2 linked regions of the Mytilus edulis genome follow. The protein of the gene in region 2 purifies or fractionates together with the protein of the main gene of each other region. This does not show direct contact. Links are inferred from orthologs where the notes say so. Each region holds a gene or a part of one and is shown on either strand. Other genes may lie near its edges.

Region 1 (13,539 bases), on a different chromosome or scaffold from region 2:
CCTTTTGCACTTGATTAATTATTGCGATCACTGGATTTTTATGAGAAAGGTCACCCAGAGGTTACTGCATATGGGAAACATGTTGGCGAATCATTGGCTGAACTACTAAAAGCTAACAATTAAAAAAAAGTAAATTTCTTCTAAATTTGGCCAAAGTAAAGAATTTTCTTCAGAAAAAGTATTTGCACATCAGTTTTTTAATAAAAATTAGCCATTTAGCATCTTTAGTTATAAAAAAAATCATATGCATTATTTTTTTTTTCAATTTGAAGTTTCATATGACTTTAAATAATTCTAATATGTTAGTGGAACAAGTTTTTATTTAATTCAAAAATTTCTTGAGTATTTCATGAAATAAAATTTGTCTTCCTGTTCATCAAATTATACAGATAATGCAATCATCTAATTATCAATAAAATATATATATATATGTGAGTCAGATGTTTGCAGAAATGGTGAAATCCTTTTAGTACAAAAATCAAAAGAAATTCTTACACCAAAAATTCAAATAGCACTTGCACAATTCCATATTCTGTAGACAATGGTGGAAAAATCTTCACAAGTCTAATGGAATTGCGTCAAGTTGTTTTTTTCATAAATTATTTTGTTATAAATCATGCCCTTAAATTTTTCAATTTTATTGTTTTCTATTTTTCTATGCGACCATATACATGTATACTGGCATATGGTATGGGCTTTTGGCATTGTGGACAGCCACATGTTGCCCATAACTGCTTTTATCCATTGCATTTGAACTTTAGTGGATATGTCTCATTGACAATCATACTACATCTCCCTATTTGTAAACCTCAAAACATGTCACATTGTTTCAGGGTTGCTGTCTCATATATATGTAAATCTCAAATCACTTATATCTTGATTAGTTTACCTTTACACCAATGGCCGAATTTTTTTTGTCTGCTCTTTGTTTTTGACTCTTTAGTTCTTTTTTACTTTTCTTATAATCTTGTTTTCCTGTAAATATATTTTCATTTTAATGGACTTGATAAAATTTTATCATGATGTTTATTTTATAAGTCAATCCTTATAATAACAGGCATACATTGTACACATTAAACATTTAACGTTTAACATCAAACATTTCATTTCCATTTCTGAGTCCTTGTGTGGCATACAGAAACATAAAGGTAGACAAATCATAAGTTAATATGATCCAAATAAAGGTACAATGTAGATACATTAAATGTTTACTTTTAACAAACTGCTGTTAACTTTTAATATGCTAGTTCTGAATTTTTGTCCTAAATCAAATTTAAAAACACAGATTTCAATGGCAAGAGTTAGCATTTATCATTTGTTTAAGCATGAAGTTTCTTTGAAAATTTAAAAATTAAGGATTGCTGAAAAATAACATGTCCGACAAATGACAATTGACCCAATTTTTTTTAACTGACTTTAATCATTTAAATAGAACATGTTAAATTATATTAGGGCACTTTGAATGGAAATAAATTGACTTTTAATATAAATAGCATACTACATATACAAGTACACAAACATAATGATGTATTATATATAACATGTATAACAAATACAGTATATCTTTCTACAACAGACAATGACAGAAGCACAGCCACCAATTTTTAATAGTTTAATGATTTCAATATCATTAACATGAAAATTGATGAATGTTAAAAGACTAGATACTTATTTAATTTGCTGTCAGCAATCTGACTGTCTGACAATGTAATTTTCCTTGGTCATGTTGGTACCAGTTTCATTGTTGTAAACCAATGTCCTGGCTTTTCAGGTTTTTTTTTTTAAAGTTTTGTGTAGGGATTATTATTATCATGATTATTATGCTTTCATAATACCAAACATGTGTCGTGTGTCGACTGTCTAATTTTGTACATACAGACAAAACTATTATGATCATGACAATCATGACAATACTATAACATTGTCAATCATTTACCTATCTGTTTTCTATACTGGTCTACTGGACCTGCCCTTACGCCAGCTGCATCTTTCTTACCCATAATCCTCTAACACACCATCTTACCAACCAGAATCTAAAATCGAGATAATCATCATGTCAAATCATGACAATATAAAACCTGAGTCTGATTAAAAAGACCATAGCAACAGACAGGCCATGATGTGTTGTACACCATACTTATTATTTTATCCTCTGACCTGATGACCTTTGAGCCTTGACATTGTAAATTCAGAAATTATTACAAGGTTTGTATTAATCAGAATATTGTGAGTATTAACAGATGTAATTAATATTGTCACATAACAAATCATTTCAGTTGCCCAATATCCTCAAATAATTTTTTTCACTTAGGCCAGTCATGCCAGTAGACCATGGTGTAGGCAGTATAATTCCTTGATCCTTTAATTAAAATTAGCCAAACTTATGGCCATCAATTGTTCATTTGTTGTTTAAATTTTGTCTGTTTGTTTTTGCTCTCACATAATAGTGACATTGTTGTACAATGTAGAAGTTAGAATTATACATTTAAAACCAGGTTTAATCCAATATTTTCTACATAAGGAATTGCCAGTACATGTGTACCAAGTCATGCATGTGTTCCATTTATTTGATGTGTTTGAACTTTTAATTTTGTCATTTGAAAAGGGAATTTCAAATTTGATTTTTCCTTGTGTTTGGTTTTGTTATACTTGTAATTCTACCTTTTACAATTTGATATTTAAATAAATACATTCAATGTACAGTGTTCCAGCTAGGATTTCAAAAGGGCAGGGTGCCAATCCTGAAAAAGGGCATTTAATTTATGATAATATGAAAAGGGCATGTTTTTATAAAGATATTAATCAAACATTGTGTTTATTCCTTGAAATCATTGGTTATACAAGAACTACATCATTAGCCCACATAGAATCATATTCAAAACAGTGTAGCTGTGGCCATTGATTGACAACCTTAAATTATCCCATTGACTGGGGCAGATTAGGTGAACGTGTGTCTGTAAGGACAACTGCTCACTACTTACTTATTATAGAATTGAAACTGTGGGGTCACCAAAGGTTCTTAACGCCTTTAATTTTAAAATAGTTCGAAAAATTAATCAGGAATAACTTTATGTTTTGATTTATATTATTGATATAAATCAAAACTTCGTGTTATTCCTGATTAGTTTTTCTAATTTCTTTATTTAGGTGTTTAGAACCTTTTGTGACCCCACAGTTTAAGTGCCTTTAACAAGTACATAGTGAGCAGCGGTTGTTACAGACAAACGTTCACATAATCTGCCCCAGTCAATGGGATAATTTAAGGTTGTCAATCAATGGCCACAGCTACACTGTTTTGAATATGATTCTAGAACTCTATCTTTCTACTTTTTAGGCTGAAAAACTTGTCAAGCAGCTTGTCACACAAGTTTTTAAATCATTGCTTGGCACATTTAAGCTTTATATGCAGCATGTTTAGAAAAGTGTCCTGCTTCATTCTGTTTCTATGTTCTGACACACCTTACCAGTTTCACCTTTCTACCTATGCTGTGCTTAATGGCAATACAACACAAAACAGCTGTGCCCAGTAAATGCACAATGTTATATAAATTAGGATATAGCAACAGTGAAAATTTGTATTAAAAATAAAGAAAACAGAAACAGATGACCAAGGCACCCTACTAACACTGCTACTAAGACCCTCTTTGACTTTTCCCATTTAACTCAAACTACCTAAACATATATATTCTTAAGCAAGAAGTATGTAGACATATTTTAGAATATATGTTAAGTGGTTTACTCAATGCTAGGGAAAAAAATCAGATTGAGTTATCTTTCTTTATTCATGTGCTCCTTCTTTGGAGGATTATAAACAGTACTTAGAAAATCTATGTAAAAATTATCAAACAATAGACCACTTTCGAGTTCATCCGTCACCGGAAAAATATTGTAAATTATGTGCGCCTTTATGACATCATTTACCAGATATAGGGGGTTGCCTGTATCCCTGCACTATTTACGTCCATCAAGCGTCTTAGTGATCATCATTGTGCAGGATAAACTAGAAATAATGGTTGTTCTGTAGATACTTAATGACAATTCCCTGATGACAGCAGTGCTGATTGTCAATTTTGAAAATTCAATTTGCCAAATAATTCGTACAATATAGAATTATAGTTTCCCAACCGCTCGCTCAACATTGGAATGGAAGTGACGACACCCCTAAATGCACAATTGACGTACACTAAAACCAGAGTTTTTGACGGAAATGTATCGAACTCGAAAGTTGTCTATTATATTGCGGCCGACTTTGTTATTTTCGTATAAAAAATGAGGGCAGTCAATGAATTTGCTATTTATTTCACAGAGAACAAGTAAAACGATGTCTTCCATGACTTGATTGTGGTTTTCAACTTTCTGTCATTACGTTTTCTCCATGAAACTACGGTAAACATTGCAAATTTTGCCCAAGTTGTCGTATGCACATTTCTTCAAAGATAATTGCCGACTGACTGATCCTATTTAAGGAGGCTCGAGGGTATAAGATTTTCAGAAAAATTTTTTAAACATTAATTTTTCATTACAATTTTATTGATTACCTCAAGTAGCTGTTACTTTATCATATGGTACAAAAATCATTCCAAAAAAATCAATTCGTGTTGGCCCCAGCGGACTTTTAAAATGTAGATATCATTGAAAAAGCTCCAAATTATCTCCCCTTGGTGCAAAAATGCCATTTTTTGGCATTAAAATTGAAATATCTTTTTTAGCTCATCAGTGAGCTATATTTTTTATTGTTGTTTTTGAATAATCTGTACATAAACTAAACAATTGTAAAATTTAGTAATTAGCGGATCATATCAATACGAACAAAATAATATATATACAATCGATCTTCAAAAAAGGCAGGGATCCCTGGAAACTGTAAAAAGGGCACAAGGCGGCACTCGGGAAAGGGGCGGGCGCCCTCTGAAAACGGCCTAGCTGGAACACTGACATGACTGATGTACAATTAGTTAGTAAAACAAATAACATGAATAAGTACACAGTCATGCAAAAGAAAGCATTTATTCAACAACCATGCATGCCTGCCATGTCAGCAGAGTTCACTTTGTTCATGTTGTTAGCTTGTTTGTTTAAATCTACATGTACTTGATCACAACACAGATGCATGCATTTTCACAAAATTAATAAAAGTCTTGCATTGTTAGTCAGAAAAAAATATATACATGCATGCAGTATAAGAAAGAAAACACATACTCTTTTACAGTGTTTCCATTGCAGAGTTATTTTTTTAATGGAAAGTTGGAGCCTCATAGTTAAAAAAATTACTTGTGCAAATCTAAAATGTCCAGTAATTATTTGTTAATTATTCCTATAATATATGCCTTCGCATTACATATATTCACTATTTAACGTTTTCATGCTGATATTTTCATTTTTTATTTTTTGTCTAATGCGGGTTGCACATTGATATTAAAAAAAAACATCAGAACAGTAAATAGAAATAGTAAATAATGCCCCGGAGGTCATATGTTATACAGTAGGGGTTACACTAAAGATCTGAAAGTGGACCTGAAAAGACCTGAAAATATACGACTAAAATTATTCAAATTGCAATAACTTTTTTATTATTGGATGGAATTTCTTCAAGTTGTAATTTTATTAATTGTAAATATTCATATTTCATTAAAATTTAAATGTTTGAAATTAAAAATCAATTTTTCGATTCCAAAAGTTGGACCTGAACGGAGAAATGAAGACCTGAAGGGACCTGAAAATCTATGTCGGACTAATTCTAACTACAATAACTTTTTTAATATTCAATAGATATCTTTCAACTTTTGATTTCGAGAAACAAAAAGTTCAATATAATGATAACATAAACATGATAAAAAAAAAATATGTGAAAAATATTGTTGGGGTGTCAAAACTCGGACCTGAACGGAAAATTAAAATTCTGAATGAGCCTAAAATTCCACATTTTTTTTGAAACGAAAATAATAAACATAGACGAAAAATATGGTTGATAACTTTTCATGTTCGATGTAATTTGGTCTCTTGTAGTGATCTGTCTCATTGGTATCACACCACATCTTACTAATTTTTATTGACGGAAGATACTATAATATGGTACGCAAAACTGATACAAGTAAAAAAAGACGGAAGATACCAAAGAATAATCAAAACTCGGATGTCAAAACTTATCAGTCAAAGAGACATAATATACCATAGAAATAAATAATTCAGACAAAGGTTTGGTGTCTTTAAACTACGATAACCCCGTCACAATTTTTGTGGTGTCCCAAGTCTGGAACCTGCACTTTGTGACAAACGTCGGACCTACTGAATGAAAAATGAAGTCCTGAATGAACCTGGATATATAAAGTTAAAATATCACTCTGGTAAAGCATGTTGGTTGTTTGGCAACTCCTGATCTGAATTCACTAATTATTGGATATATGCTTAAATTTTTAATTTGTAAAGTTTATACTTGAATTGGTGACTGAGCAATGTTTAGTTCATTTCTTGCTTAAAACTTATCATGCTTATTGATTTTTTGGGGGTTCGTATGGATAGCTAGTAAACCCAGCAAATTTGTAACAAACCCCTCATGATCATGCCCTGTGATCCAAGTATGTATGGAGCTGTTTTAAATGCGGGAAGAAAAAGAGCAAGAACAAGGATTTTTTAGATTTTAATCTCATTGAATTTGCAATTTATTAACTCATTTTTTAAGTGTGATCAATAATGGTCCATAGTCACCCTACCTGCAAAACTACCTGTATCAAAACTGCAAAATGACAAATATTTAGAAAATGTGCCATTTTTCGTGGAAAGGCGTACTTTGTTAAATTTGATTGGTTCTCTTGATATGCATTTTCTTTCTTAAATATAGCATGCAAACAAATGTGGGCACAGAATCTACATTTTCGTATTTACTTATAAAAACTTCTTCACATGGTCCACATCACCAAGTTGAGTTATCTCCCCTTTCAATCCAGGCTGGTCCATTTGTATTGATACCGATATTTTTGATACTTTTATGGACAGAGTTAAAGGAATATAAAAGAGTGTTTTTCAGCTGTAACATTTTTCACACTTGCTATTTATAAAACCAACATATTTAATACTATTCTAAAATCTAAATGAATGACAAATGGAATAATCCAATATGGCTGCCCCCATGAATGTCAATATGTGGAGCACCAAAAATTGCTGAAAACGTTTTTTGCTGCATACTCTCATACACAACACTTGCTTAGATGTTCTTGTTTCTAGGTAAAATCTTGTTGGTATTCCATCACTGAGACATCAGTCATATTCATACTCATGAAAGCTGACTCCAGAACTAAAAAAAACCCATTCATTCTCATCTTATACTCAAGTTATAGAAAGTCTTACTAAACAAATCCTTGCTCTCATATAGGCACATTCATACATCTAAGGACATTCAGTATGCAGATATTGATGATTTCCGAGTACAATACCACCAGGGGCGGGTCCAGGTGCACGGCACATAGTCATCAATATTATGATGGAGTGCGGAAACTAAAAGAAGAGAAGAAGGTGGGGACGTGATGGGCGTAACCCCCCCCCCCCCTTTAAAAAAAACAACCAATCATAATCATCTTATATTGTGTATTGAACATGGTGATTGAATGTAGTCATTAAATAAACACATACTCTTAAACTATAAAAAAAAAAAACATACTTTTTTTCTTTTTTTTCTGTGGTGCCTTCCTATGAGACCTACGATGTACATTTGTAGTAAGGCGTCACAGGAAAAAAAATAAACTTAAGTTCCAGACGTCATAATTATTTGGACTAATCAATCATGTCAATGATGTATTCATCATATAAATTATATGAGGGTGGTAAACATGGTAAAGGGGGTTTGTGAACATGGAAACATGTGAAATAAAAATTGCCAAAACATTGCATAGAAAATAAAAATTTGTAAAAATGAAGCACCAGAAACAAAATCGTTAATATTAATGATATTTTTTTAGAAGTTATGACTCAGTCAATTTAGGAGATCATGCTGTCATTATTAATAGAAATGAAGACCCCTGTTGTCAACTTTTAGCGTCTGTTAGTTGCATCTGATTTGAAACATATATTATCATGATTATTAATAGCAATTTCATGTATTTTATTGCCTACCATACAAAGACAATATCCAGGCCGCCTATAGATTAGTCTGGTTTACCTTGGAGTCAAATGCAGGACAAACAAGAATAAATAAAGAGTACGAACACGAAACACGGGATAAAAATAAGGCGAAAAATGAAGCACACACATCAACATGATCAAACCAAACACGAGAAATAAAATGTAAAAATACGAAAACATATGCAATAATAAGTCTGAAAATGTTGCACGAAAATAATCCTTTACCACCCTTTTGTATAATATTTTCCAGTGTTCTTATAGATGATTTTTATATACAGATTGATAGAAATGATAGATGGCCTTTTCCATATCCGCCAGGGTATCATCCTGAAACCTGCATACATTGTATCTTGTGTAGAGTTGTCTTGTTGGCAATCATACCACATCTTCTTTTTTATATATCAACCTGTGATATTAGTTGAGGGCTAAAATATGGGTCAAAATTTGATTTACAAAGGCTGATAATGGCAATATGGAAAAGGCATAGTCATTATAAATTATGATCCAAATAATTATTAATTATTTGGATTAGAAAAGACCAAGTCTCATTTTAATATATCATATACAAATGTACATGTACTAGTAAATATGGTATTGAAATATGAATGTACCCATGCTGATAACCCCATATCAGCCTGAGGCCTGACCATGTGAAGTTACATATGGCTGATATGGGTTATCAGCCTGGGTGTGAATTTTATAATGGCTAGCTACATGTAGTAAAGATAAGATAAGATAAGATAAATAATAGTTTATTAAAGTGTCAAATATTGATCTACATTAAAATGCATAGCAACATCATAAAAAAAAGGATCAATACCCAGCCTATAAAGACTTACGAGACACAGTAGTGAACTTCACCTCGTTCCACATATATGCAAAAACTATCTGTCATATTAATAGAAATAAGAAGATTTGGTATGACTCTATGACTATGAGCATGATGAGTGCCAATGAGACAACTCTCTATGTACATGATCTAAGTCACAATGTGTAAAAAGTAAACAATTATAGGTCAAAATACGGCCATTAACACAGAGCCTTGGCTCAGACGGAACAGCAAGTTCCATGTATTAAGTGGCCCCAATTTAGAATATAAAAAAAAACACAAGTTTAGTATTAAAGCACAATACTTTATTTTGTTATCATGGTTATTCATATATGGTCCGAGTACACAGTTATTTTGTAGTGCATTTCTTTTAGACAATAAATGAAAATTAAAAAAATCCCACCTGCGCTTTCTCAATAATATTTTTACAGTGTGTTGTACTACTTTTGGGACAAATTATATCAAAATAATAGAAAACTCCATCAGCTCTAACTCAAAATATGGACAATTTTATGTTAAGGGGGTCTTGAAATCTTTTGACAGCTTCCGAAGTGCTAATTTTGGACCTTTTTAAGCTGGACCTAATCACTACTTTACATTAATATTTATGACCCAAATTTTTTTACAGTGTCATTCCAACCACCAACTTGCTATATGAGGCATAAAACATGGAAAAATAAATTTGGAAGGGGTATAACAAAAATTGGCAAGTAACACACTGTCCACACTAAGGACTATATTCGTGGACAACGAAAATCAAAGGACGATAACTGTGTACTCGGACCATATATACATGTACATGTGTGATAAATCCTACATGATTAGCATGTTATTACTTTATACTGTATATTATATATATATATTTTTTCAGGATGTTAGTCAGAAGAATTTATTCTATTGTGAAGATCAGTGGTTCATTCAGATCACTTACATCTGTGTCACAAGTAACGAAGACAATAAGCTCAAATATTTGTAGAAGATGTTTTCACAGGTATTACAGTGTCCAAGCCACACAAGATCTGCCACAGCCTGTCTTTCTTCAGGCAGAGAAGTATCCAAACAAAGTTGCGATAATAGACCAACATGGTAGCTTTAAATACCAGGATCTTTTACATTATAGTAAAACACTTTCACAGGAAATTATAGATCAAGTCAATGGTAATAGCAAGCATAAAACTCTTCCAGAAAATACCCATGTGGCATTCCTATGTGACAATGATGTATCTTATGTTGTGGCACAATGGGCCACATGGATGGCAGGAGGTGTGGCAGTTCCACTTTGTAAAAGTCATCCACAAAATGAATTAGAATATGTTATCCAAGATGCACAATGTTCAATAGTTTTAACCACAGCAGACCACCTTTATAAAATAGAACCTATAACAAAAAAATTAAGCATTCCACTCAGAGTATTAGAGAAGGAAAACTATACTGGATATTATGAAGCTGATCAGAATGCTTGGTTTATTGATAGACAAACAAGTTTAGATTGTAAAAATCTGGTCAAACATAACCGCTATAAAAACCAGTCAAGCTTGATTATATATACTAGTGGAACCACAGGGAGACCTAAGGTACATAGAATAAATAGTTATAAGCCCAAAAAATATGTATTTGTTTCTTGCTTCCCGACTTGAGTGAAAAAATTGATGTTGGTAAAAAAAAATAGTTTACATGGACCATATGTTAACAATGACTAGACTCTTAACCATGTTAACTGTGAATCTGTGATTAACCAAAAAATTACCATAAAAACAGTATACACGAAGGCATTAAAATTTAGTTATATGTTTGTTGAGAGACAGGAAACTGCGAGAACTGAATTATTCCTTCAACTGATGTATTCCTCCTACAATCCTGACAATAATCAAAAGGTTTACTTGTAATGTTAGAGTTGTCTCTCTTTCCTTGTTGGGGAGATTTGATGCTGCAAATTATTGTTATTAATTATTAATTCAACTGATTTTTTTTTTTTAAAAGAAATTAAAATTCTTTTAGTGATTTGTTACCCTTGATATGTTTTTTCTAGTTAAATGGTTGATAAGCATGATAAGAACTTAATATTGTGCATTTTTGTTTCAGGGTGTGGTACTGACATTTGGAAATATTCACTGTAACATTACAGGAATGATGTCAGCTTGGGAATGGACGTCTAACGATGTGATATTACATGTATTACCCTTGCATCATGTGCATGGTGTAGTTAATGCATTAATGGTACCATTATACTGTGGGGCAACATGTGTTATGTTGCCCAAGTTTGATGAAAAAGTGGTAAGAAAGCTTTCAGTCTTAAAACTATATTTTAAAATTGAGAATGGAATTGGGGAATATGTCAAGAAGACAACAACCTGACCAAAGAGCAGATAACAGCCAAAGGCCACCAATACCCCTTATCACCATTTGTCCGCCATTACTGCATATCACACAGGTTCCCGTAAAATTTTGACGTCATAAAACAAAATATCTGACATCACAATGGAAAAGTGATTGTTGTATGCGTCAAAAGTTCAAGTGGCCGGGTCAGCAGGGATTAGCGATAAGGTGTATTGCAAAGGGTCTTCAACGCAGTAAGAAAATCCAGCACCTGAGGTGGGCCTTAGCTGACCCAAAACCAAAAATGTGTACTAGTTCAGTGAAAATGGACTCCATAGTAAACTTAAAAAAATATATATGAACTAAAATTTAAAAAAATATATAGGCCTACCAAGGCCAGAGGCTCCTGACTTGTGACAGGTGCAAAAATGAGGTGGGGTTAAACATGTTTTGTGAGATCTCAATGTATTGTATGCATGTGTTGCCATTCATATGATGGGTATTGAACAGGTACAACACCAGCTGGCAAGTGGAACAATGTTAATTATACATTGAGTTTGATAAAGTAAAACATTACACATGAGTAGTTAGAGTTTCATACTGTCTTCAGAAATATGAAAAAGCATCAACTTTTTTTGTAAGAAACATCTTGAACTGTTGTAAAAATACATTTTATCCTTTTGGATACAGTTTAAATGTTGTGACTGGATAATTTGGAAATAGAAAGTTTACCTAAAATGAAAACAATTCAGTATAAGATAATTATGTCTCATTAACCATGTTTACATACATGTACATGACAATGATTTTTCATTTCCTATCGTTAACTATCCGTTTTTAGATGGTGACGTTCCCTTGTCACCATCTTACGGTGTTTATATATCTCAACTTGTACGATTCGCTCGTGTATGTAACAATGTTTTAGATTTTAACGAGAGAAATTTATGTATTACTGAAAAATTATTACACCAGGGTTTTCGATATCACAAACTAGTCAAAACATTTACTAAATTTTATCATCGGTATAAAGACATCATTCGTAAATATAGCTCAACATGCAGACTTCTAATACGTTCAGGTATTTCACATCCAATTTTTTATGGAAATATTCTTTATAAAGCACAAAGGTGTCAGTATTCACCTCAGAAACTTACAAAACCTTTGAATAGACTTATTAAGAAGGGATATAATTACGATACTGTTGTCAAGTCATTAAAGATTGCATATTTTGGCTGATAAGGTCTTTGCATCGGAACTAAACACATTTATTCTAAAAACAGTTGTTGGCATGACACAGGTTATGTTCTTCTCATATATGTTATGATGGTATGATACTAAACCCCTAACGGGAAGGATTGTGCCTGATGTTCATATATCTTTCAGTCAGTTTAATTGAACTGAATTTGAATGTGCGTATTGTTATGCGTTTACTTTTCTACATTGGTTAGAGGTATAGGGGGAGGGTTGAGATCTCAGGAGCCTCTGGCCTTTGTTAGTCTTGTATTATTTTAATTTTAGTTTCTTGTGTACAATTTGGAAATTAGTATGGCGTTCATTATCACTGGACCAGTATATATTTGTTTAGGGGCCAGCTGATGGACGCCTCCGGGTGCGGGAATTTCTCGCTACATTGAAGACCTGTTGGTGACCCTCTGCTGTTGTTTTTTATTTTGGTCGGGTTGTTGTCTCTTTGACACATTCCCCATTTCCATTCTCAATTTTACATGAATAAACATTATACAATCAAACGAAGAAAGATATGTTAAACCTGGTGAACTAAAATACAATCTATACCAATTTGATTGCTTGGACAGCATGATAAAGGGAACTGAAAATGTAAATGGACATTTTTTATTTAATACAAGACTCAAGATTTCTGGCTATTTGTTTGACCAAAAGAATGAAAGCAAAATGCATTATTTCTATTTGGAAATTTTTTCCAATAGAAAGACTCATTTTATATAAATTAGTTTTTATCATAAATGTAATGAAAAATTGGACTCGCTGTCATTGATTTGTATCAACTCAATCATCATGTTATTTGTTTTAGGTTTGGGAGAAACTTGCAGTGAAAAGAAAGACAGGGATAGACATCACTATTTTTATGGCTGTGCCAACAATTTATGCCAAGTTGATAGAATACTATGAAAAAAGTGAAGAGGAGAACCAACTAGCTTCTCAGTTCCTGTCTGCCTCACTAGAAAATATAAGGTATTAAACTTTCCTGTCTCATAATTCTTACTAAATATGTTTGTTTTTAGCTTCCAATTTAAGAACAT
Region 2 (13,234 bases):
ACAAATAATACTAAGTTACAGTGGCTACAGTATAGATTCAATCATCGAATCTTAGCTACAAACAAATTTCTTCATAAAATTAAGATTTATGATAATCCAAATTGTACATTTTGTAATAGAGAAATTGAAACATTAGAACATTTATTTTGGGAATGTGAACATACACAATTATTATTAGAACAGATTGAAAATTGGTTTCTAACCAATGGAATTAGTGTAATTTTTACAAAAGAAGTTTTTTTGTTTGGTAACACTGCAAAAATATCAAAAGGCAATGCAGAAAATACTCTTTTTCTTACCATAAAGCAATATATTTATAATTCCAGATGTTTTAAAAAAAAACTGACAATAAACTCAATAAAAGAAAAGATAAAATATGTTTATGCAATGGACAAAAATATTGCTATGAAAAACAAATGTGAACATCAGTTTCTCAGAGAATGGAATGCTTTTGATATATTACTTAGCATGCTTAGTTAAGTACAAAAATGTATATACATCATGTACATGTTATAAATGAAAATGCTGTATTTCATTGTATTTACTATACTAAAATAGAATTCAATTTCTAGATGAATTATATTGAAAACTCACCACACTATTCTCTCTCACTCTCTTTCTCTTTCTATCTCTCTCTCTCCGGTGTTCAAACTGCTTTACTCTTTATCTTATATTTGTATATTTAAAAAAAAAAAAATTGCTTCTTAATAGAAAGATGTAATGATTAGATAATATCTATAGATTTATATATTATATATTGCTATTATATTTGTGTATATTATGTTGTAAATTGGAAGTTATAAATAATAAAAATTAAAAAAAAAAAGAATTCTATTACAACAAAGCAGATTACATTATCTAAAATTTGCGTTACGAAATTGGAAACCAAAGTAACGCTAGTGTTCTTACACCTGCTACTGAAATACTTATAGTTCTCGGCATTTTCTTCTGACTATTCTTATTAGTCGATGTTCTTTATTATTTGAAAGCAAAAGTTACAAATTTGCCGGTGACGATTATCTATAAATCAGTCAGCGTTATGCACTTCGGAAGCGAAAAGTAACGCGAGAAACGACACAAAAATACTGTCGTATAATCTTTGAAATTTGTTAATTTCAATTTTTTTTCTAGGGAAGAGTAGCATACACTTGTATGTTGATAAAAATAAAGGCATCTTTAGATGTAGTTACAACTTTTCTTACAGTAATACACATTTTTATCACTTTTCTATCGTTATAGGAAACGAGCCCAATAGCAAATTATGGTCCATATACAGGTTGGGAACAAACCCCCTGGATGGTGATTATACCTGTATAGAGGGATAATCCTTCTTTAGAGTGATAAAATTATCCCTCTATAGAGGGATATTTTCGTTTGCACTGGATTTAAAGCAAATTAGGGCAGAATGGCATTTTCTAGTTATATTGGCTATAATCTCTAGCATTATATGCATCAACATATGCACTTTACTAAAAATTGGGATAACCAGTTTTCTGCTAAAGTGACAAAACTTGCAATCTATTGTATACCTATCTGAACACCTGATCAACAACAAAAGGAATAGTTGACCTTTAAATTTCATGTTAAATCTAACAATAGAAATTCTGTTCAATGAGGCATAAGTGAGTAGAATTTACCTGATCATCACAGCTTTCAATCATGGTGAACAATAGATTTTATATTTAGTCAGATAACATACATGTGATTCTTCCGGCGGGAGTCAAAATCTCCCGCTTTTAAGACCCTCTTCCGTCCCTCCCGTTAAAATTTGAAATCTTCCGCTTTTTCAAAATGTCAACCTCGAAAAATTTTCAGTAGAAATTTTTGTTTACAAAATTTATACTGACAGAGAAAAAGTCCGAGAAACTCGAAATTTAGATCGAAAAAGTCCGAGAAAAACGGAAGTTTCCTTTAACTGTTTTGATGTCAAAAGGTAAATAGCCTCGAGTTATCTATGAAGGTGTTAAGGATTAGACTGTATATACAGCAATAAAAGAGTATTGGCAATTACCTGGTGATAAACTAGCAAGTTTAAGACACATGCCTGAGATAAGCATCAAACTGGGCATGTGCATATTAAATTAAGTACATCAATTGGTGCATCAACTGTTCCAGGTTACTGCCATAATAAGTAGAGAATGCCATTCTGCCCTATTTTGATTTAAATCCAGTCTAAACAAAAATACCCCTCTATAGAGGGATACATTTACCCCTCTATAGAAGGATTATCCCTCTATACAGGTATAATCACCATATACAGTTGGAAGGCAAACGCCTGAATCTGACAGATAGAGGTCAATTTGTCGACAAAAAAAGAACCCGTATGTAAAATGTTTACGCCCACAAACAGCGCCACCTATAATTTTTTCTATGGCATCTTTGAGAACGATGTCCCATTCTGTAGTAAATTAAAACATTAAATTAACTAAAACATAGAAAAGTAAGTGTAAAACACAAATTGAAAGATATATTTGCAGATGACTGTTTATGCATGATACGCTGGCAATGTGCGCAATGTCCTTTAATCCAAGACTGAAAATTAGTTTGTTTCCTACGTCAAGATGGCGGATTTCAATGTTTACATTTTTTCACCTATTTATAATCTGACAGAATTTCGTATCCAATCATTTATTAGCAATTTTATTATTGATCTTTGAAGATCATCCAATGGCATTTGCCGTTAGAAAGTGGCTACACGTTACCAGCCGTCGTTACAAAGTAGCCATGTGTTTTGTGGGGATACCTTGGGAATGTTGTGTATTCAAAAGTTACGGTAAAAATCAATGTTATCTTCCTTATATTTCCATGCATACACAATTTATAACAGCAAATACATTCTTAACAGACCCCATAACGTAAACGGACATATTTAACAGTCTGCTTGAGCAAAAATTCGTGTAAATAAGCCTGATGAGTCAAGCACAGCAAACACGTGGTAGATTGTTTATGTTTGACAGTTTGTTTACTTGAATTGCACGTTGATGTTACTATATACTTACCAATAACCTTTATGGTGTTATACTTTCAATAGTTATATAATAAATCTTACCCAAGAAATACGTCTAGGTAGGTGCAGGGACTTCTTTTACTTGGTCCTTAACTAATGAGGGTGTAATGATACATTACAGCATTTTTTGCATTTGATATATTTCATGGACATGTACATTTTGTGTACACAAAGAACAATAAATTAAATGAACGTACATGGGTTTAATTCCCACCCTAGGAATACATTTTGACTCTCATGACAGGTTGGAACAAATAGAGCAGATAGCAATTGACAATAATGTAATGCTAAAATGCTGATTGATGGGGTCAAATCATCAATATAATTTTTTCTAGTATACAGCAGCTCCTCTAAGGGTTAGTAAGGGTACTTTACTAAAAGTCCAGTGGCTAAGTCCTGTCTTTTTTGCCTCTGATATTTTCTAATTTATATTATAATTTCTAATATTCTCTTGTGCATGTAGTAAGGCAAAAGCTTTTGTTACTCTTATTTTCCTCATTTGCCTTAAAACAATGGAATGTATTAATTGTTGATGTATGTCAAGTGACTTGTAATTTAACTGTCACTGCTAACAGAGACTTGGACTCTGGTGATAAGTTTCCAGGCTGTTATGTCATTGGCAACTATACCATAAATGTCAGTTTCCCCTTTATAAGTTTTTAAGAAAAGAATTTAATTATAATATAATAATAAGTTAAAAAAAAGTTGTGAAAAGTTAAGCACAAGTGACAAATCTAATTGGCTTTTTATTCAAGAAAACCTAGAGGCATTGAAAAGTGACTGTGTTGCAATTTAAAATAAATGGTTTGAACTCAGAAAGTTATCAATATATATAGAGAGTACAGATAATGTTTAAATTGGGCATTTGGAAACATTTGCCTGTTAATTGAAGATATAATTATTATATGCCTTTTCAAATATATGTGTGGCTCTGAACTAGCTGTGGTTTAAAATCTAAGAATGGAGTTGGTTATCTCCATATTTATCTGATTTATATCAACATCATTGATCCATTATATATACACATATATAAATCATTGTAATACATGTACATTACTTTGCTCTTCATATGCCCTTTAATTTGAATAAAATATCTTGTCTTATACCACAATTATTTATTTTAGTACTGACAGGTTAACTTTTAAAAGCATTTGTAAAGTAAGTGAGTTGATGACAAGCTTAGTCAATGATTGTAAATCCAGATATCATTTTTTTTTATAAAAGTAAATAATGTGATTAAACTGGTTATCTCAATTAAAAGAACTGACATTCTGCTTTGATACTATGAGATTATTTCTGATATCAGAATAATAAATTTCTTTTTGAACTTTGTCCTTTTTCAAAAAAATTCTGAACATACTGTATTTAAGTGAAGTCAGTTTTGTTTTTGTTTAAGACTACTATAACATGGGAGGTGACCACAATCTCTATGTTATACATTGAAGTAGTCTCAGGTTTTTGTAGTTCAATTGACTATGCATTTTAGTGCAGGTAAATGTGAATTTGGATTAAATTTGAAGTTGATTCAGTATATCTAATGACATAATACCACTATTTTATTTCAACTAAGCATTTTCAAATTTTATTTACTGGTCAGCTGATGTTATTATCCAATCAATAATTGATTATCAAGCACTTAACAGTTGGTTGCAGGACTTTTGAATTCAAATATAAGAAAGAAGAAAAAATATAAAGCAAAACTTCAAATATTTATACATATAACAGGATTTATGATAACTGCAGGATATATCAGATTACAATACAGCTTTTGTTCAGTGATCTTTGTGTTGATTATTATGTTTTAAATCCCTTTCTGGTTCTTTGAATGTTCAGATTTTTTCTCTTGATTAAGGCAAGCAACAGAACTTGTACAACTTATGTAGTTTCTTATCTCAGGGTGAATCCAGAAAATTTTAAACATAAGTGGTGGTATTCTCAACTAAGGATAAAAAGGAGGGTTCCAACTATATGCATGATCCCATTCAAATGCATTAATCTGCCATAAAAAGAGGAGGTTCCAATCATCATCATCTGCAACTGTATCTTAAAGCAGCTATAATAAAACAAAAATTGTACATGTACTTCTGGCTACTTCAGATTGATTTTATTTTCAATCTATGGTAATGGTAACAATTTTGAAGACTATATACATGTATTTCCTTTTTTCCCCCATATTTTTGTTTAAATGTAATCTTCTGCTTCTGCTTCTATTGTTACACAGGTTCTTCTGACAAATGACTGATAAACCCATCTTGTATCCTTGTATCTACTAAAAGGGTGTTTGAGAATATATACAATATATTCAAGTTTCAGAGAGTCAGTCTGATATAAAATGTTGGTAAGTGTCTTCTTTGGAAGTGTTCAAAAACCTGTAAGAACTTGAACTTCCATGACTATTTTAATGTTTAACAGTAGAGGAACATGGAATATTGAACGGTATTCAAGAACTCGTCGAAATAGATCTGCAATCATTAATTTTACTCATATTTACTATTGTGAACTTGCAATTTCCTACGATGCGCGTACCGAGTTATCTCCCTTTGATCTCCGCTTCGCCACGAATAATCTGACAGAATTGCGTATCCGGGGTTTTTGTGATCTGATATTGTAATATTAGGAGCAAAAAATGGTTTTACTTCATATTTTATACCTCTCAACACGTTACCAAACCTATTTAAGGATTTATTAAGGATTTTCCGTGGACCTACGCAAATTTTCCGAAAAAAAGTTTCACTTTGCTCGTGAATTTATAACATTTTAACAATACTTTTTTATTATAATTATATAAAATAAGAAAGCTTATTCAATCTAGAATTGAACACTTTGGTTTTTATTAATGTACGAGTACAAATAAGACGATACGAGTCTAAAAACCACGAGGCATGCACGTTTACAAAAAAATCGTAAACTCTGACCTTTTATCACGTGACCAATGTCTTGAACTTAGAAGCCATTAAATCGTTTGCCGTTCAACTGATATAGAGGGTTTGTTCCCAACCTGATATATAGAACAAAATGTCTATCTTCAGTCTTGCTGCACAGACCTCGCCATATTTTGTCACTTTTATGAGAGTTTTAAATTATTTACATTTGAATACTTTTATCTTTATAATATTGTTGATATTTGCTTAATTAATAATTGTAATTTATTATAATAAACTATGAATTGCTAGTGTTAGATTCTACAAAGCCAGATATAAAGGATCAGAGACTCAGGAGTCCGATACCTACTCTTTACACGGTCTGGGGTATAATATGTAAAAGTTGACTAAGAAAAATTATGGAAAAAAAATAATACGCAATGTAAAAAGTTTTCAACCAAGTGCCGAAGTGGCAGTTCTTGTCATTGGAACACATTCTTTTCGCACAAACATTTTGCAAAAAATACAATGATGCATGCAGGATGACACGCCTGTTTTTGACGGCTGGGGATTTGTTTTTTGAATTCTTACTTGAAATTTCAACACAACACAAAACAATTTTGCAGAGGTTTGCGATTTTTCAAAACAATGTAAACAGACAAATTTATCTTTAAAAAGGAGAGCGAAAAGTTATAAAAACCTGAGTGCAATCCCGAGAATCTACCCAAATCTCACAAGATATTAAGGGAAATTTACATAGTAGTGTTAGTAAGTAAGAAAGTAAGTAAGTAAGACAATTTTATTCAGAGTCGTCATATATATACACAATAACAGACAAAACATGAGCTCTGGTGAGCTCTTTAACCGACTATTGTAACGGTTTATTTCTTCCTATGGGATATTTTATCCTGTGGATAATTTGTCCCGGTAATTTTTTTCCAGGCATGGTATTTCACAGGTTGATTTTTTCCAGAGGAGTGAAAATCTATCTGTGTTATGCGGATAGTATGTACCGGTATATATTTGTGAAAAACAATCTATTTTTTTCGCGACAAGTCGAAAACAATTTTTTTCTTTCAATTTTAGCATTACATATAGTGGCAGCTGAGGGTGAAACAAACATTTTTTTTTTCTCAGAATCAAAAACAAATTATTTTTTTCTCCAAAAACTGGAAACAAACTTTTTTTTCCAAAAAAAAACCATAGCCCCATCCCCCTGATATACCTGACTATAATTATAAAATGTTTCACAAAGGTAGACCAAATTTGCATAATTTATCAAAGGGAGATAATTATGAGCAATTTATATTTTAAAGATATTAATATAATACATTTCTGAATCTATTTTATAGTGTTTGTCCTTGAATCTTATTTTTTTATATATTTATTTATATAAAAAGTTGACTTACAACTTGATTTAATAAGACAGATAACATTTCACAGGTAAAAACTATCCAGCTGTTAAACATGCTTTTGTTCAAATATATTGTTATGCTATGATTTATCTGATTTCCATATAATCAACAACTACATCTCTGTCCCCAGACAAAACTATTTATATAGTTAAAAATATCATCATAATCAAATTCTTCTATTACTGTTAACAGTAGTAATGCAACTATATTTCTACCTTACTTTTAAATTTATATTTGTACTGAGATCTGAAAACAACTCACTTTTACATGTATTTCACTAACCTTATTTAATCATGATATTATTTTCACAATAAGGATCTTTGAAATTACTTCTGGTTTTCTTCCCTATGTTTCATGATAATTTTTTTTTTAAAAGGATGATATTGACTTGAATATTTCAGGAAATTTTTTCACGGATAATTTGTGAAATTATTTCCCATTATAATACATTTTTTTTAACAATTTCGCTTTATTTCAAATACACTATTATTATTTCATAGTATTTTTAAAGGATAAGTTTTTTCTAATAACTATTCAATAAGATAACTACCCAGATAGAATTTCACGGCAAAGGAAAAAAGATCCCAGGGAAATATATTCCACCGGATAAAAAAATAACAACAACTACTGTGACATTTTTTCCTCCGGATCAAATTTCACCCGGATTTAATTTTGCTTTACACTATCACATAAACAAATCATGCAGCTTCATGCAAATACTATCAAATAAAAATGAAAAAAGCATGCAAGTATAATGGAAGCAAATATATTTGATCTGTGAGCCTCCCGAGTCAAAGTTCATTTGGCAAGCGCCTCTATGTGCATTGAACAGGGGAGTCGGCAAATCACTTGAAAATCATTAAATAATACAAATACAAATATTTTTATTGGCACAAACTCATTAACAATAAATGGTTATGACCTATGCCATTACATATAACTATAATAATTGACATGGTAGAATGAAAGGTTCCATGATAACATATCATGCTATTATGAAAAGTTACAAAATGATGTATCATATAAGATCACTATTTCTTATATTAAGACACTCTGATATGAAAGAGGAAGACAGTCTAGTAATAATGCTGAGCTATTATTAACCAATAGAGATATTTTTTCATCAATGGTAATGTTACGCTGTATTTGAAATATAACATTTATTTTATTTTCCAATATTTCTCGCTTTGAGGTAAATCTATTACATTTTAATAAGAAATGTTTTTCATCCTCATTTTCCCAATTTTTACAGACAGGACAGTTATAATCTTTCCTCTCTAGGAATATTAATTAGATGTCTTCCCCTTTCAATCATTAAAGGATGTGCACTTGTGCATATTTTGCATATTGCTGCTCTATCATTTAAATTGTTTAGTGAATCAACAAGATATGAATATCCTAATTTGTGTAAAATGCACGAAGTTTTAAGGATACAGGGGTTTTAAAATCTTGTGGAACAGAAATTTTGATTTACAAGTGTATTTTCTGATGAAAGTATATGCTCTAAAAAATTTATGCTTGAAAAAACAATTTTATTTTTGAGTGGAATTCTACCAAGCTCAGCATGACAAGCATCATTTGAAGCATAATAACAGACTAAAAGCATAAAAACAATAAATAAATAAATGTAAGCACTAGCATTTAGTGGCAGATACATTCAATAAATGCATAAAAGCAGAGCAAAAGGCCATTATAAAAAGAAAGAAAGAAATTTCAGCTTTGAGACAGCACTGGATGGAAACGACATGAACTGCTGTTACATTTTTGACCCCCACACCAGGAATTTATATAATTCCTAAACTGGTCAAAAGAAGTCATGAGTCTAGCCTCATTAGGAATGGAGTTCCATACTTGTGCTGCCTCAAATCTAAAGGATCTTTTACCATAACTTGAGATTCTAGGTCTAGGTACCTCAGTTATCATTCACATACCTGAAATTATATGAATTGTTTTTTATTACAACTAAATCTTGAATAAATAAAGGACATTTTTTATTAATTATATCAAAGGTCTCCAATGCAATTGAGGGCATTCTACGAGTTTTTTTATGATGGAAGGTTTGAAATCTGCAGGAGTGTTTCGTATGAGCTCTGATGGTCTCATAAATATTGTCAACACTGCTTTTAAATTAAAATGTAAACTCTACTTAGGAAACAACAATTTAACTTCTAGTGGGGTTTTTGTTTAAATTTGTAAAAAAAAATATTCTGAATGCCAATTCCCTACATACCTTAAGTATAGTGTAAAATTTTGAAAAAATAATCTAATTGATCGTGAAAAAAATTCTGACTAAAAATAAAACATAAACCCCCTTGAAGTTAAATGGTTGCTCCCAGTGGTGGATATCGAAATTTTCATTAGTGGGGACCCACTGACTGCCTAAGAGGGGGCCCATTCCAGTGATTCCCTGTATAATCAACCAAATTTTTCACAGAAAAGGGGGGCCTCTGGCTCCCTTAGCAGAACACAAAAAGCTAGGTTTTGATAAGACAAATATATTTAATATAATTCATGTGAGAAAAAAAAAATATTTTGGGAAAAATTAATTACAACTGGTAAATTTAAATGTTCCAATCATATAATCAATTTTACAATCTGGTTGACCAGCAGGCAAAGGTAAACCGCAATACTAAGCTTTGGTCACGTCGCAGTAAAATTTTAAATAAAACCAGCATATTGGGATGACGTTTGACAAAATTATATATTCCACCAAGAAAAAATTAAAGAAAGCAACATTAATATTGTCATCTCTTGTTTATAACTCAGTCTGGCCAGAATTGTTGACTTTTTGTTTTTCCATTGTGTTTCAGACTAACTTATTTAAAATTCGTACAAATATGGAACACACAACTTTTTTTCAAGAAGACAGCTTTGTTAACAATAAACCAGCTGTTATACTTTTTGTTGTTTTCAATTCCTCGTCGTCTTTATGTAATTTTCCACTTTCTTGAGGTGCAGCAAGCTTTAGATCTGCATATATACTGTTAGACAAAATAAGTGTATAACTGCTTCTGGAGTTGGTAAACCAGATATATACAATATTAGGTCAATGTCAGGAAAATATAAACTGTTTTGTATGAGACTGAGAAACTGGGAAAAGGCAAGGTTCTACCGAGCCCTCCCAGTTATGTCAACTTTTCATGAAGCAAATGCGGGCATGAGATTTGGCCAAAATTGAAAAGATCAAAGAGAAAAAACAATAGATCAAAGTAAAATTCCACCAAAAAATCATAAACATGCTTGAGTCTAACGCTAAATGCCTGAGACTTGGCAGCCCTGCCCTTCTCCAGTTTTGCATGAGTAAAACATTTTTTTATACTTTTATGAAATTGACCTAATATTGTTTTTATGCTGCAACATAAATTATTACACTGCATGAGAGCTTTTTAAATCGTAACACAAATGTCAAACTTATTTTCATCACTTAATGGACCCCTAATTGTGGAGAAAGTGTTCCATGATGAAATTGACATTATACAAAATATAGCTATGTTACTATATTTAGGAAATTAGCACAACAAGTTGCAGTATAAAATGTGTATTGGTGGATTTGCTTTGTTTACAGATTCTTTTTAGCCATGCCATTGTCCTTTTATTTCTAACTTGTGAGTTTTAATGTTCCTTTAGCCCAGCTCCTTTTTAGCTCACCTGACCTGAAAGGTCAAGTGAGCTTTTCTCATCACTTGGCGTCCGTCGTCTGTAAACTTTTACAAAAATCTTCTCCTCTGAAACTACTTGGCCAAATTCTACCAAACTTGGCCACAATCATCCTTGGGGTATCTAGTTTAAAAAATGTGTGGCGTGACCCGTCAAACCTACCAAGATGGCCGCCATGGCTAAAAATAGAACATAGGGGTAAAATGCAGTTTTTGGCTTATAACTCAAAAACCAAAGCATTTAGAGCAAATCTGACGGGGTAAATTTGTTGATCAGGTCAAGATCTATCTGCCCTGAAATTTTCAGACGAATCGGACAACCTGTTGTTGGGTTGCTGCCTCTGAAATGGTTATTTTAAGGAAATTTTGCAGTTTTTGGTTATTATCTTGAATACTATTATAGATAGAGATAAACTGTAAACAGCAATAATGTTCAGCAAAGTAAGACCTACAAATAAGTCAACATGACCAAAATGGTCAGTCGACCCTTTAAGGAGTTATTGCCCTTTATAGTAAATTTTTAACAACTTTTCGTCATTTTTTGTTACTTTTCTAAAAATCTTCTTCTCTGAAACTACTTTGCCAAATTTAACCAAACTTGGCCACAATTATCATTGTGTTTTACAATTTATAAAATGTGTACGATGACCCAGCCTACCAAACAAAATGGCCGACATGGCTAAAATTACCGGTAGAACATAGTGGTAAAATTGCTTTATATCTTTGAAACTAAGACATTTAGGGCAAATCTTTCAAGATTTTAATGTCCATCAGAATAAGATATATCCCCTCACAAATTTTCAATTGAATCGGACAACCTGTTGTCGGGTTGCTGCCCTAAAATTGGTGATTTTAAGGAAATTTTGCAGTTTTTGGTTATTATCTTGAATACTATTATAGATAGAGATAAACTGTAAACAGCAATAATGTTCAGCAAAGTAAGATCTACAAATAAGTCAGCATGATCAAAATTGTTAGAGGACCCCTTAAGGAGTTATTGCCCTTTATAGTCAATATTGAACAACTTTTCGTCATTTTTGTAACTTGTATAAAAATCATTTCTAAAACTACTTGGCCAAATTTAACCAAACTTGGCCACAATCATAATACTAGGGTATCTTTTTTTTTTAAAAGTGTCTAATGACCCCGCCTACTAACGAAGATGGCCAACATCTGAAAACACATTAACAGGTGAGCGACACAGGCTCTTGAGAGCCTCTAGTTACAGGTAATTAGAGAATTGTTTGATTATCCTCTTATTTTATTTTTTGGATGTAAAATTTGGCAGTAGAAATTCTAAACTATAACATAATTGGAAATACACTATTTTTGGCACGTTCATTTTTTTGTACATAAATAAGGCTGTTAGTTTTCTCATTTTGATTTGTTTTACATGGTCATTTCAGGGCCTTTTATAGCTGACTATACGGTAAGGGGTTTGCTAATTGTTGAAGGTGGTACAGTGACCTATAGTTGTTAATTTCTGTGTCATTTTGGTCACTTGTGGAGAGTTGTCTCACTGGCAATCATACCACATCTTCTTTTTTTTATATTATGGCAGTCAAAGGGACTAAACAGTTCTTTCAGTCTAATCCTATATGCAATAAACAATAAGCCAGTAATGATCTTCTGCCTTGTCCCCCAGGTTATTCATCAATTGAATGTCCTGATGTCTTTTTAGAACCTGTTAGATGATGAAAGACAACTATAGATTCTAAATGATGCTAATAGCTTATACGGTGAGCCTAAAATATTGTTCTCTTTTGCTATGTTTCTATGAAGTATATAAACTCTGGTATTTTTATTTCTCAAGACTTAGTAATCAAACATTAGGTGAAAGTCTTGGCCAAGTGTGTTTGTATTCCAATGAACACTTCATTGATCAGAAGTGATCATAAAATGTACCTTCCATTGGAAATAGATATTGTCATTAGAAACCTATCAAGCAACTTTTCAATTGGATCAAAATGTAGGCAAAAAAATGGTCAGTTTGTATAACAATAAGAATGCACATTTTCTATGAGATATAAATTCAGGTATCAAATTTGAACTTTGAACAAACAGATGTAAACCAGTATACTTCTTTATTTGGAGTCTGGTTTTAACTGCTATAAAAAGACTGATTGACAAAATGTGTATCTAATTGGCATTTTTCTTCTGTATTTACAGGGAATAAAAATTGAGAACTGACTGCAAAAAGTTGCATAGTGCACCTGTCCTAAGTCAGGAATCTGATGTACAGTAGTTGTCTTCTGTTTATGTAGTTCATACATGTTTCTCATTTCTCCTTTTTAT

Evidence for each region.
Region 1: the proteins of DNA ligase 3-like (region 2) and bifunctional polynucleotide phosphatase/kinase-like purify together in Homo sapiens (co-immunoprecipitation; 5 studies listed by BioGRID and IntAct, with this or other methods). This does not show direct contact. The link is inferred for Mytilus edulis from reciprocal best matches to the Homo sapiens genes LIG3 and PNKP.

The regions. Positions count from the first base shown.
Region 1 is NC_092348.1:24,551,450-24,564,988, forward strand, and holds the start of bifunctional polynucleotide phosphatase/kinase-like, read right to left. Parts: upstream 7,006-13,539; 5' UTR 6,883-7,005; exon of another isoform or gene 6,711-6,882; intron 6,345-6,710; exon of another isoform or gene 6,326-6,344; intron 2,034-6,325; 5' UTR 1,937-2,033; intron 976-1,936; 5' UTR 890-975; intron 1-889. Other genes in the region: malonate--CoA ligase ACSF3, mitochondrial-like, read left to right, coding at 9,817-10,518, 11,027-11,218, 13,311-13,471. UniProt on the Homo sapiens protein: Plays a key role in the repair of DNA damage, functioning as part of both the non-homologous end-joining (NHEJ) and base excision repair (BER) pathways.
Region 2 is NC_092356.1:45,823,869-45,837,102, reverse strand, and holds the start of DNA ligase 3-like, read right to left. Parts: upstream 6,550-13,234; 5' UTR 6,460-6,549; intron 1-6,459. UniProt on the Homo sapiens protein: Isoform 3 functions as a heterodimer with DNA-repair protein XRCC1 in the nucleus and can correct defective DNA strand-break repair and sister chromatid exchange following treatment with ionizing radiation and alkylating agents.